Linked DNA regions of Mus musculus. The protein of the gene in region 2 purifies or fractionates together with the protein of the main gene of each other region. This does not show direct contact. Links are inferred from orthologs where the notes say so. Each region holds a gene or a part of one and is shown on either strand. Other genes may lie near its edges. The genes, in order: Slx4ip, Slx4 and Pgam5.

Evidence for each region.
Region 1: the proteins of Slx4 (region 2) and Slx4ip purify together in Homo sapiens (affinity purification with mass spectrometry; 6 studies listed by BioGRID and IntAct, with this or other methods). This does not show direct contact. The link is inferred for Mus musculus from reciprocal best matches to the Homo sapiens genes SLX4 and SLX4IP.
Region 3: the proteins of Slx4 (region 2) and Pgam5 purify together in Homo sapiens (affinity purification with mass spectrometry; 4 studies listed by BioGRID and IntAct, with this or other methods). This does not show direct contact. The link is inferred for Mus musculus from reciprocal best matches to the Homo sapiens genes SLX4 and PGAM5.

The regions. Positions count from the first base shown.
Region 1 is NC_000068.7:136,890,693-136,894,990, forward strand, and holds the start of Slx4ip (protein SLX4IP), read left to right. Parts: upstream 1-1,475; 5' UTR 1,476-1,669; intron 1,670-4,298.
Region 2 is NC_000082.6:3,998,865-4,002,856, forward strand, and holds the start of Slx4 (structure-specific endonuclease subunit SLX4), read right to left. Parts: upstream 2,815-3,992; 5' UTR 2,742-2,814; coding exon of another isoform or gene 2,618-2,741; 5' UTR 2,507-2,617; coding exon 2,497-2,506; exon of another isoform or gene 2,444-2,496; coding exon of another isoform or gene 2,089-2,443; exon of another isoform or gene 1,455-2,088; intron 482-1,454; coding exon 254-481; intron 1-253. UniProt on the Homo sapiens protein: Regulatory subunit that interacts with and increases the activity of different structure-specific endonucleases.
Region 3 is NC_000071.6:110,267,075-110,271,037, forward strand, and holds the start of Pgam5 (serine/threonine-protein phosphatase PGAM5, mitochondrial), read right to left. Parts: upstream 2,826-3,963; 5' UTR 2,766-2,825; coding exon 2,578-2,765; intron 192-2,577; coding exon 13-191; intron 1-12. UniProt on the Homo sapiens protein: Mitochondrial serine/threonine phosphatase that dephosphorylates various substrates and thus plays a role in different biological processes including cellular senescence or mitophagy. Modulates cellular senescence by regulating mitochondrial dynamics.

The DNA.
Region 1 (4,298 bases), on a different chromosome or scaffold from region 2:
CTGAAGCTACTTTGTTTTTATTGTTGTTGTTTTGTTTAGTTTGTTTGTTTTCCGAGACAGGGTTTCTCTGTGTAGCTCTGACTGTCCTGGAACTCACTGTGTAGACCAGGCTGGCCTCCAACTCAGAAATCCGCCTGCCTCTGCCTCCCAAGTGCTGGGATTAAAGGCGTGCACCACCACCGCCCCGCTCTGAAGCTACTTTGAAAGCTGTCCTTGGGCCAATCCGGTAGCCAGGTGCCTCTGTATCCCCGCCCCCAAATACCCTTGTCCCAACCACTCGCGACCTTTCCGTGCGGGGACGCGGTGAGGCCGCAGGCTGGCTTCTCCACCAGCGGCCTGGCCCCTCTCACCTGCCCACCAGCAGCTGCACCTCTAGGTCAGGCCACCTTCACCACCAGAAACCAGAAATCGCGCTTGCACAGCAACCAACCACGCAGCGGAGCGCCACCACCTTTGCCCTGCGCGGCAAGAAGGCGCATGCGCAACTCTATGCTCACGCGCACCACCCCTCCTTCCCCCGCCCCTCTTCCGGGGTTTGCGTGAAGCTCCCGCAAAGGAAAGCTGCGGCCGTCACCGGAAATCTTACGGGCAGACGTGTATTCTGTCTGTGCGCGCTACCAAAATTGAAAGGTCACATCACATCACATCACAGCACCAAGAAGGTGGCAGAGCGTGCGGCTCTCTGCTCTCTCGAAAGGTATTTGTAGAACGAATGAAGCTGTTACCAGTCCTAGGTGGCGTTTCCTCTGTTCTGACCAATCACAAGGCGCCTTGCCCTGTCACTCAGTTGTCAATTCCCACCTCTCTCAGGACGCCCTAAGCTGTAGAAACTGGCTCCGCCCTGCCGGTCCGAGTGACGTCAGAGAGCGAACATGCGCAGACAGAGCCTGTCGCCATGCAGGAAACTTCCGCCCAGTCTAGGAGCGGGGTTGGCAGAAGTCGGGAGTCTTCAATTCAGTGCCGGATCCGGTTGGTTAATTTCCTTGGCTTTGCCTTTCTTTTTTTTTTCTTCAGAGATAAGTCTTTTATTCTTTTGAACCACCCGAAGCATTATGAAATTATGTTTAAACATATTTTATTTCGCTTTTCTCTGGCACCGTGAAAGGCACCTTTATTTTTCAACGTATCTTTTAATCTTCCTCATTAAAAATATTTTCTACTCTTGCCCTATAGTTTTGTGATACGAAAAACACGGCTTTTGTTGTTGTTGTCCATCAGTACATATCGTTGACGTACAGTGATACATTATCTGCCAATTGTATTTGTGGCTTTTCCAACCTCTTAAAAAAAAAAAAAAAATCCGCTTTGGCCGCCATTTTTATTTTGGTCTCCATAAAGCGTTGATATCATCGACAGAAGCCATTTTTCGTTTGGGCAGTTCTTTCCGGCTATCCCATTACCTTAGCCAGGGCTTCGGGCGCCATCGTAGGTGCTGGCAGTGGCTTCCAACCGAATGAAGTCGATAATGCCATCTTGTGTTTGGGCGCTGGTTGCATTCTCTAACGTGCGAGGGGACGCTGGGAAACGGGAAGTAAGCCAAAGCTGCTGAAGCTTGGTCTGCCGCCTTTTTAGTCTGAGTTTTCCCGTTCAGGTACTATACTAGTCCACCAGTGACCCCGGACAGTAACAAAGCATTACAGCCCGAACCCACCTCCCGCCACCATCGTAGGTAAGAGCGTGTGATACTTCGTTCGGATAACCCAGCTCTTCCCTCAGTTGGACCGAACTGTTTGGCCATCTTATACCAATACGTATTTTTGTTTTGGATTTTGGGACTTAACACAATTTTTCTCTTAGGTATTCCTTCTCTTTCCATTAGAATTGTTAAACACCACTGTTCAGGAAGACTGAGATTTAAAGGGACAATAACGTTGAGGGAATTTCCGTAGAATAACAAAGCAAAATGGATGGAACAGCAAATTTGATCATTAATTGTATGGCTTTCTGCATCTATAGAGGTGAATATAGCTCCCAGAGGACTTTAAAATGTGATCAGCTGTGTTTGTATATTCTTCCCATTCATTCATTCATTCATTGAATTTGTTGAATACTTAGCTAGTTTTGTGCTATAAAATATAGAAGTAAACTTCAAAACAAAACAAAACGAAACCTCCTTTTCATCCACTTGCTTTGATATATCCAAAGCTGGGACCAGGAACATAATGTTCTAATGTTTTTTTTTTTAGCACTGCTGGACAAGCAACTTCATGTTCTCACTTCTCGTATTTCTTGGATACTGTATATAGCCATAATTGTAAGGCTAATAGTCCAGGTAGCATGGCCTTGTTGCTCAGTGTAATCATCGACCAGCCATCCCAGCATCTTCTGGGAGCATGTTTCTTGGAATGAGTAGAAGCTGCACTTGGGCACAGTATAATAGTGACTTGGAAACTTTGGACTGTGGCTTACCTTAGCTTTTTGTAGCACCAGGCTTTCTTCTGTGTCTTCTTGTATGAGAAAAGAAAATCAGTAGTTCTCAACCTTGGCTGCCCATGACAGTCACCTGGGAAGCTTCTAAACCAGACTTCAGACCAGTTGCAGATAGAAATGGAGACTATGTGGAATATAGATGACACTAAGGTATTTGAGACATGGTTTTCATGCTGTTAGGCGTAAGATTGGTTTTCACCTTCCCTCTTGGCTTTACTTAAAATACCATGGAGACAGGGAGGAGTATTAGGTTGGGTGGGTGTTGAACCAATGTCCCAGTGACTGGTTACCTTGTCAACCAGCTTCCCAGTAATTGTTACTTTGCCATATATGTCTTTTCCTTAGTCTAAGTGGGAAAGAAGAATGAACACCATTTGTTTTACTGAGTCTCACATGAATGTTTCCATTGTGGATATTCATGTTTTATGAGTATGTAGGAAAACATTATTACACTGAAATATTGCTTGTTTGCAATTTTTACAGTGCTACTAAGGGTAGTGATGTAGTGTGGATGGGTAAAAAAATCAGTTCTGAAACGTCTTCCCTGACTGTACATCCTACTTCCTTCACCCCAGCTCCATCTCTGAGATCTAAAAGACAGTTACCCACCCTTGTGCTTGAGTTTCCTAACTTGTAAGGTAGGACTCCTGTGAGAGTTAGCTAAGTTAATACAAGCAATGTGCTTCCTAAGTACCTGGCATGGGCTGGAGAGCTGGCCCAGAGTCAAGAGCTGTGTGCTGTTCTAGACAACCTGAGTTTAGTTCCCAGCACCTATGTCAGGCAGTTCACGATTGCCTGTAACTCCAGCTTCTTGGGAACTCAGAGGTGTCTGATGTCTGCGGGTGCCTACACTCACATGTGCAAAGGTGCACACAGTCACACCCCCATGCACATAAATTAAAAAAATTCTTTTAAGAAGTACCTGGCATATACTAGCAGCTATGAAAATATTACCTGTAGCTGTATATTTTATTATATTATAATTACAAGTTTGGATTATTAAGATTTTATTTATACATTCCCATGACTGAAATTCTTTGGCTTTCCACTTTGTGCATCAATTTGAAAAACAAGGTGGTCTAAATACATTACCCAAGGCCAGGAAGATGATTTTTAAATACATTTTTTAAATCAAAAGATCTTCTTTTAAACATAGCCTTATTGAGATGAAGTTGTAGTACAAATAACAGCATTTCTTTAAAATGTACCAGGTGATGTGTTTTACATATATAAACACTGGTGAATCATCATCACAGTCAAATAATGAACATACCTATCACGCTCCAAAGTTTGATCATGTTCCTTGGTAATTCCTCTAGCTACTTTTTTCTAGGCAGCTGCTGACCTATCAGTATAAACAAGCATTTTCTAGATTCTTATTTCAATTGGAATCTCGTACTATGGTTTTTAATTTGAGAGGGAGTATGAGTAATTATTTTGAGAACCATCTTTGTTATATTGATAGCTCATTTCTTTCTTTCTTTTTTTTTTTCTTCCTAGTTAGTTTTTTTTTTTTTTTTCTTTTGTGGTGCTGCAAATTGAAGTCAGGGCTTAGTGCTTGTTAGGCAAGTGCTTTATCACAGAGCTACAGCCACAGACTCTTCAGCCTGTTTGAATCGCTAACTGCTCTCAGTGTGTGGCTATACAGTCATTGTTACAACTCACTAACTGATAACCATTGAGATTTTTGTTTTCAGTGTGCTCATTTTTGCATAACTATGTTCTTCTCCAGATTATTTCAATAGAAAAAAGTTATTAAAAAAGTTATTTAGTGCTGTCTATATACTATGAAAACAGAAGAATATAGTGGTAAAATATTTTGTGTTGGGATTACCTTTCTCTTATATAGTTTATGCCTTAATTTTTTA
Region 2 (3,992 bases):
AGGACCCTCTCCCAGCCTCCACAGGTAGCCATGCTCCCATGTACATACCCACACAGATACATAATGTATACAGAATTAAAAATAAAACATAAATAGTTTTTATAGGGACACTCCATTCTTTGGCTAGCTCCAATGAGGTGGTGAGGTAAAGAGCAGACAGAAAGCTGTATACAGAAATAAAGGCAGCGGCTTCTTGCACTGCCTCTCCTACACAATGTAACTTATCTTAGAAGGCAGAGCATGCTCACCGTACCATTTTCTCCCACTGTCTCCTCTGGAGGGCTCCTTGGGACATCGTCTCCCAGTGCAGTCTTTTGGGGGGATTCTTCTGAGGCGTGTCTCAGGCGCTCAGGGTCTGCTCTCTTGAACTGCTTCATCCGTTGCAGAACCAGCTCTGAGACTCTGGGTTTGGAGGGACTTGGTACACCAGTTGTCGTGAAACAGGAAGGAAGAGGCTGGGAGTTGCCATTGGGAGCACTCTCTGACAAGGAAGAAAATATTCACAGGTTTTGTTGTATAGCTTAGACTCAAATTTCCAAAAGTTCTTTACTAGTCATGGACCTGTTCATCCACTCACTGCAGCTATGCAAACACACAACGGCAGAAGGCACTGGATGCAGTGCCTGCTGCTGAGCTTGGGGTTCTGCAGGGGGTGACGAATATGCTCTCGAGTTATGTAGTGGTGGTGATGGATTCATAATGCTGAATGTACTAAACACACTCAACTGTATACTTTAAAATTATGTAATGAGCAATATCTCAATAATGTTATTAATAAAGAAATACTAATGACAAGTGTTTATCTCTTCCTAGACCCATGTTTTAACCTGAGATACACCTACAGCCTTCAGTGGAGATCTAGGAGCCCAGGAAGCTACAGGCTAACTGTGCAGGTTTGCATGTGCAAATCACTGAGGCCTTTCACCGGCTGCAGAGAGAGAGACTGAATGGCCAGCATGCCTGGGCAGGGCTGTAGAGTCCTTCAGCAGTCTCCAGGAGGTCAGACTTTAAGACCATCGATGAAAGACTCTGCACCCACACTAGAAATGTTTTTTACAGTAAGGAAGAGAAAGTGAGGAAACAGAAAGCAGGAGCCGGCAGAGCCCATCTTACATGTAAGTCTGGTTTTCAGTTCTGTGTGAAGGGTTAGATGAAGCATATAGATAGCTGAGGAAGCTGTCAGCCCATCCTCTGAGAGCCTCCTCAGTCTGAGCAAACTGGCTGGACCATTCCAATGTACCTACCTTAAAATCAATTCACACATATACTAAAGGTGCCATTATTTCTATGCTGACATGACTACTGTCAACTACATAAACAGTGACAAAAAGCTCATGGAGCACAAAGCTCTAAACACACTCATGGGAGCACACAGAGGACTGGGCAAACTGCTTGTAGGGCTAGGCTTATTTCTGTAAATTAAGTTTCATCAGCACACGGCGGCCCCCATTCACCTCCACATCGTCCTGGGCTGCTTCCTCACCACAGCTGCCATTAGGAAGAGTTGACCCTTTGTATCGAGGGGGGATCAGTTCTCGGTGCCCCTGAAAATTACTACCTATCTACATTTAACTTGTGCATACCTAGTGTACTTTAATTCACCTATATATTAATGTGATATCCAATATAAAGCAAAAGCTATATAAATAGTTGCTACAAGGTGTTGTTAGGGAATGAAAACGAGAAAAAAAGTCTGGACATATTAAGTACAAATTATTTCTTTTATCAAATGTTTACCTTCGGACAGAGTTGGAATCGCATAGATAAAGAGAGTCAATTGTTGTTGCAACATAAACATGTGAACTGTAACAACAACAAAATATTTGCTGTCTGGCCTTTTTGTTTTTGAGATAGGATCTCTCTCTGCATAGCCATGGCTATCCCACACTCAGTATGTAGACACTAAGCTGACACAAACTCCCAGAGATTCCCCTCCTTCTGCCTCCCAAGTGCTAGGACTAGATGTGTGCACCACCACACCCAGCTATCTGCTTTCATAGTAGATTTTCTGAGCCCTGGTTAACAACAGCATTGATCAGTTTGGTTCCTTTCTGGAACCAAATCTGGCAGTGAGTCCTGCCTGGTTACCTGTCTGAATGCTCTGTGCTCTCTCACACAACACTGGCTGATCTGGGGTAGGAGCAAGAACGTCTCCCTTCCCATTCGCAGGGAGAGCTGGGCCCCCTTCTTGAGACTTGGGTGCCCCTTGCTTTGTAGTCCTAGGGGTCTGGCTGCCTAATCGAGGTTTCTTCTCTGAAGGGCCTTGAAGAGCTTTGCTCCTGGCGGCAACTTGGCGGCCTTCTTTCCGTTTGCCTCGGTTCTGAGTGTGGCCAGAGGCCTTCTGCCTCGTCCTCTCTCCTGATGCTTCTTTGGTCCCATTTCTTTTCACCCTTTGGAAAAAGCTGGCACAGAGTTCTTTGAAATCGTCATCTGACTCCTCCATCACTTGACCTGTTTTAAGGTTTCCGGTTTGTCTTTAGGGGAGTGAGGACCGACCTGGAACCATGTCCACAGATGAGGAACTCGTGTGTGAGCCCACTCAGGCCTTCCCACGCCTCTGACCTCACTGCAGCTCAGCAACTCTTCTCTCTGATTTACTCGGAGACTTTGTACTGACCTCCTCTCCATGTGACTTTTATATCTTCCTTCAATTTGGACCCGTAGCTAAATAAGTTGTTTAAAAACTTCACAAGTGAGAGAGCATTTTGTTGTCCAACAGCTGCCTCTGAGATAGAACACATGTGAACTCTGTGATCAGGTGATTCTCCAAGATCTCCACAGTGATAAAGGGCGTAGGTTCATCTAATTTTATATCTGTGGAAAACCAAAAGCATCTAAGTATAATTAGACAGCTACTGCCATTTTATGTCATTTTTTCCCACGGTGTACAAGAGGATGTCAGGTATGAGGAAAGTCTCCAAATACAGTCTGGTTACAAGTACACTTGTTCCACAGGATGTCCCAGTGCAGAGCACATCACACACAAGACATATCACACACCACATAAGCACGCACACACGTGGTTTTTACTGAAATTGGAGAAAAATATGAAGAGCAGCTGCCACACAGATATATGCTCCCCAAATACAGGGAGCTTATCTCGAGTGGCCTCAGGACTCCAGCTGTCACCTGATCAGCTTATGGGACAGTCAGCAGATGCTGCAAAATGATTGAAATAAGGAGAAAAAGGATATATATATCCTTGTACATTCAGGAGACAGAAAGGCCACCTTTTTTCTATTCTGAGTCCATAAGAGCTCTCTAAGCTGCCTGCAGAGAAAGGCTGGCTCTTACAGGCATGAATGTTTATTAGGGCAAACAGTATATTCTAGTTCAAAATCAAAACTGAATAATCTGGGTCTGGGGAAACAGCTTGGTGAGTAAGGGTAAGTGTGCTTACTGAAAAGGACAGGAACCTGAGTTTAGATAGCCAGCACCCATGTTTAAAAAAAAAACAAAACCAGGTGTGGAGGCACTATTGTAGCCCCAGTGCTGAGGATGGGAGGGGAGATAGAGACAGGAGTATTGTTGAACCTTGAAGGTTGGCCAGACTACTTGAAAATTTGCAAGCTCCTGAGAGACCCTGTCTCAAGAAAGCCAACAGTGATAAAATAGTATACCCAACATTCTCATCTGGCTAACAGATGAGAATACACACACACACACACTCTCACACCTCCCTATATAACCCAATGACAGAAATCTATTCATTCCAAATACATAGTGCAATAATCTTATAGACGTCTCCCCTACTCCTTCACATGGGCTCTTTCCCCCACCTCACTCCATGTTGTCACACATGGTTGCCACAGTGACACCTGTCACAGCTTATAATCATTTGCAGGGCATAACATTCATTGAAAGCTTATATGCCCAATGCTATGCTAATTGCTTTTCAAATCTTTAGCCCATTTAATCCTTACAGCAATACTATATAATACAATCTACTGTCAGCTTTTCCTTATGGTGAGGAATCAGCCACAAGCAGTGTA
Region 3 (3,963 bases), on a different chromosome or scaffold from region 2:
AATGAGTCATACCTAATGGTGTCAGGGTGCGGTCCTTCTCCAGGGAGCCATCCACATGGTACTGGGAATGCCGGATGAGGAAGATGTGCCTTGTGGCCTTGGCCTTATAGTGATCCAGCCTGGATGTCAACTCGTCTTCTCCAGATTCCACATTCCTTTTCTTCAGGTTAATGAGTGACAGTGGCTCTCGCCTAATTGTAAAAGTATGTCTTATCTTATGACCTCTTGTCCAAGACACCTTTCAGTGCTTGGGAAAAGGCCTGGGGGAGAAGCCCAGGCCAGAGAGCCTAGCCTCACAGACTCTTCCCGAAAAGGCTAGGCTCGCTCTGGTTGATACATATATTATTCCTGCATATAACATGAAGCCTCAGGTTCATGTTCCTGGTGAAGACAGGCTGGGTGAAGAGATGGCTCACAGGTTAAAGTGCTTGTTATACAAGCAGGAAGACTAGAGTCCAGAAGCCACATAAATACTGGGTAGGTATAATGGCCCACTTATAATTGCAGCCTCAGAACGTGGAGACGGGACCCCTAGAAGAAGCTGTCTAGTCAGACTACTTGTGTTGCAAGTTCTCGGTTTGACTGAGAGGCCATGCCTTAAACAATAATCCAGAAGTATGATTGAGAAACAATTTCCATAACTACCCCGGGCTTTCCCACAGACCTACACACATGTGATCTCACACACGTGCACATGAGACGGGAAAAAAAAAAAAGGAGAAACCCAATGATGCCTCAAATAAGCAAGCAGTGTCAAGAGATGTGAGAGTGGATAGTTGCACTGCAGCGGAGCCTAGAACTGTACTGTCTGTGTGACTCCAATAGTCTTGGGGCTGTTTCATTCATTTACTACTTCTGCTGGTGATAAGACAGGCCCTCTCAGTGTAGCTCAGGCTGACGTCACAACAATTCTACTTCAGCCTTCCAAGTATGAGGAGTACAAGCGAGCATATACTAACATCCCTAACGTAAGTTAAAAATACTAGGCACAGGACCTTGGCTGTGCTTTCTCACAGTACAAGTCTGGACTCCTCACACTCTGGAAAAGCTGAGGCGGAAGGATCACAAAAGGCCAGGTTGAATAAGTAAGTCTAACTATACTTAGGTCTTTCGTAGCTCAAGATTCCACACTCAATATTCAATCAACCGGGCATCAAAAAATACTCAAAAGTTTGCATCTGAACTAAACAGACCTTTTTGTATGTGATTTTTTTTTAAAACCTCAAGCTATATATTTTAACAACTACTTAGGTAGCAATTTTATTGTACTGAGTGTGATAAATAATCTAGGAATGATTTAAAGTATACAGGAGGATAAGCTAGATGCCTAGGTTATCTGTAAATACTTCATTATCATGAACATCCACAGAGTTTGATATGTTCAGGGATCATGGACCCAATCCCCCACCATACAGAGGGATTACTATAATTAATTTTAAATCAAATAAAAATAGAGCTCTTTTCTAAGTCACACTAAACACACTTTAAGTGTTGAGCAGTCACTGGGGTAGTGGCCATCACAATGTTGAGGACTGTAGTTAGTGGAGTGGACGTAGGAGCCGAAGAAACTGAAGCTACTCAGTTAAATGTAGGAGGCAGGAATAGGACAAGTCAGAGCTGCCCAAATTAACACAATGGTGGAAGAGGAAGGTCTGGAAAGGGTGGTGGTGGCGGCTCAAGCATGATCTGAGCAGGCTAACCTGGGGTGTTAGTCCCATATACAGACCAGGCCAAAGTCTTGCTGCAGCTACAGGGCCGTGTGTGGGGCTGGACCAGACAAAATTTGGAGACGACTGTCAGAGAGGAAGGCATACCAGAAAGAAACCAAGTGGATATGCCCCTTTTAGTCCCTTCCGGCACTTGTTGATCCATCTGTCATGCATCCTTCCCCACCTAACAAGGCCACTGTACCAATCCATCCACGTAAGCAGACACAGCAAGCAAATATGAAACATTTAAAATCAGGTCATTTCTTTTTTCTTTCTTTCTTTTTTTTTTTTTTTTTTTTTTGAGACAAGGTGTTTCTATATAGCCCAGAATTCAGAGTTCTGCCTGCCTCTGACTCCCAGTGCTGGGATTAAAGCTGCATGCCACTCGCTATACATGCCACTGTACCCGGCTTCCATGGGTAACCCAACCCTTGGCTCTACTTCACGCACGGGTTCTCTGGCCTCTGAAGGGATAGCATGCTTGCAGTCCCAATCTTCCCCAAGCTGCAGGAGGAGAATTTGTGAGGCAAACCTGGCTGTCTATCAAGACCCTGACTCTGAGTAAGACTTAATCCTTTGGAATTTCAGGCCCACAGAGGATGGTGGTCCTGGGACAAAGACCTGGTGCACTGTCTCTGAACAAGGACTCTTCGAGTATGGGGTCCGGGCGGTTAGAGGTCCCTCAGAGAGACGGGTGGCCCAGGCGCGAAGACCTTCGGGAGGTGCGCCATCCAGGCACTGCCACCGATTCACACAAACTCAAGACCCACTAGCACGCAGCGTCCCCTTCCCTTCAGAGCACCGATCTCCGCCATCCCGGGATGGAGGTGAGGAAGCAGGGCCGAGCCCAAACCTCCCGTCCCCGCACCTGTCCCAGTTGGTGTCCCAGACGCCGCGCCCGGCTCGCGCTCCTGTCCAGGCCGGCGGCTCGGTCGCGCGCGTGTCTGCATCCCCGCCACCTCGCGGCTTCCCTACCGCGACCGCCGAGAAGAGAACAGCGGCCGAGCCACCGGCCAGACCACAGGCCGCCAGCTGAAGCGCCTGCCGGAAAGCCATGCCGCAAATCGCGCGACCTGACGGCGGGACGCCAGGAGCAGACTTCCGCTTCCGGCTGGTGGAAGTCCCGCCCCTTCCCCCCCCCCCGACGAATCAGGAAACGCGGCCCAGGGCGCCACCTGCCGGTGGTCGCAGGGTAGCAGGCGCAGATGCCTGCCCTTTAGTGGGTGGAAATCAGGCACTGGGGTTTATTTATTTATTTTATTTTATTTTTTTGGTTTTTCGAGACAGGGTTTCTCAGTGTAGCCCTGGCTGTCCTGGAACTCACTCTGTAGACCAGGCTGGCCTCGAACTCAGAAATCTGCCTGCAGGCACTGGGTTTATATGAATTGAAAAACCTCAAGTTTGGCACTTCAATTTGAAGTTTTTATGTTTTCATTTGTAATCTTTAAGTGTATGCATACTCTCAACTTTCACCTCCTGAATTCTTTCCATTTTTTTCCCTAAGAACCTTCTTCATTCAACTATCAACCCTCCATTCCCCACCCCTAGTCCCTGGCACCTACCATCGCGCCTCCAAGTTTTACCGCTCTAGTTGCTTTTGACCAATTGACCGGGTCCTTCTGTGTAGGAAAGGTGTCCACCTGCTCTTCCAGGGCCATTGTACCCAAGGCCTAGGGACTAGACTGGCAGGCCCACGGACTTACAGCTCCAGGCTTGGGCTTTAACTACCAAGCGGCCCAGCACTTGGCAGCTGTTATAATTTTCATCTTTGAGCAACAATGAACAGCAGCAGGCATTTGGTAATATTACTGCTCCTGAATGAACCTCTAACCTCAGACATTCTCAGAACCCTTGGCCTTCCACAATGGCTAAGGCGGTCCTTTGGCTAGACAGCTCCCTAAAAGTCTTAGCAACAGGATCTGTTTTTTCCACAGCCTTCTTTCACCTCAGCTCTCTATTCTCTCTAGCCTCAGCCTTTTGGTGTTCCTAGCTCAGCCTACCCTACTATTGATAAAAATAAATTAAATTTTTTTTACAAAAACCCTCTAAGGCCTGACATACCAAAAAAAAAAAGGATACAGAGGCTGTATTTCACACTGACTGAAACGTGAGTTTCAGTCGGCTTATATATAAAGAGAAAAGGGTGTTATGGCAAGGGTCTTAGCCCCAATCCTGGCAGTCCTTCATGCACGTTTGAATCAATCGCAGGTTTTCTGCAGAGCCACCAAGGGAGAGCCTCCCCCTGGCCTGGATG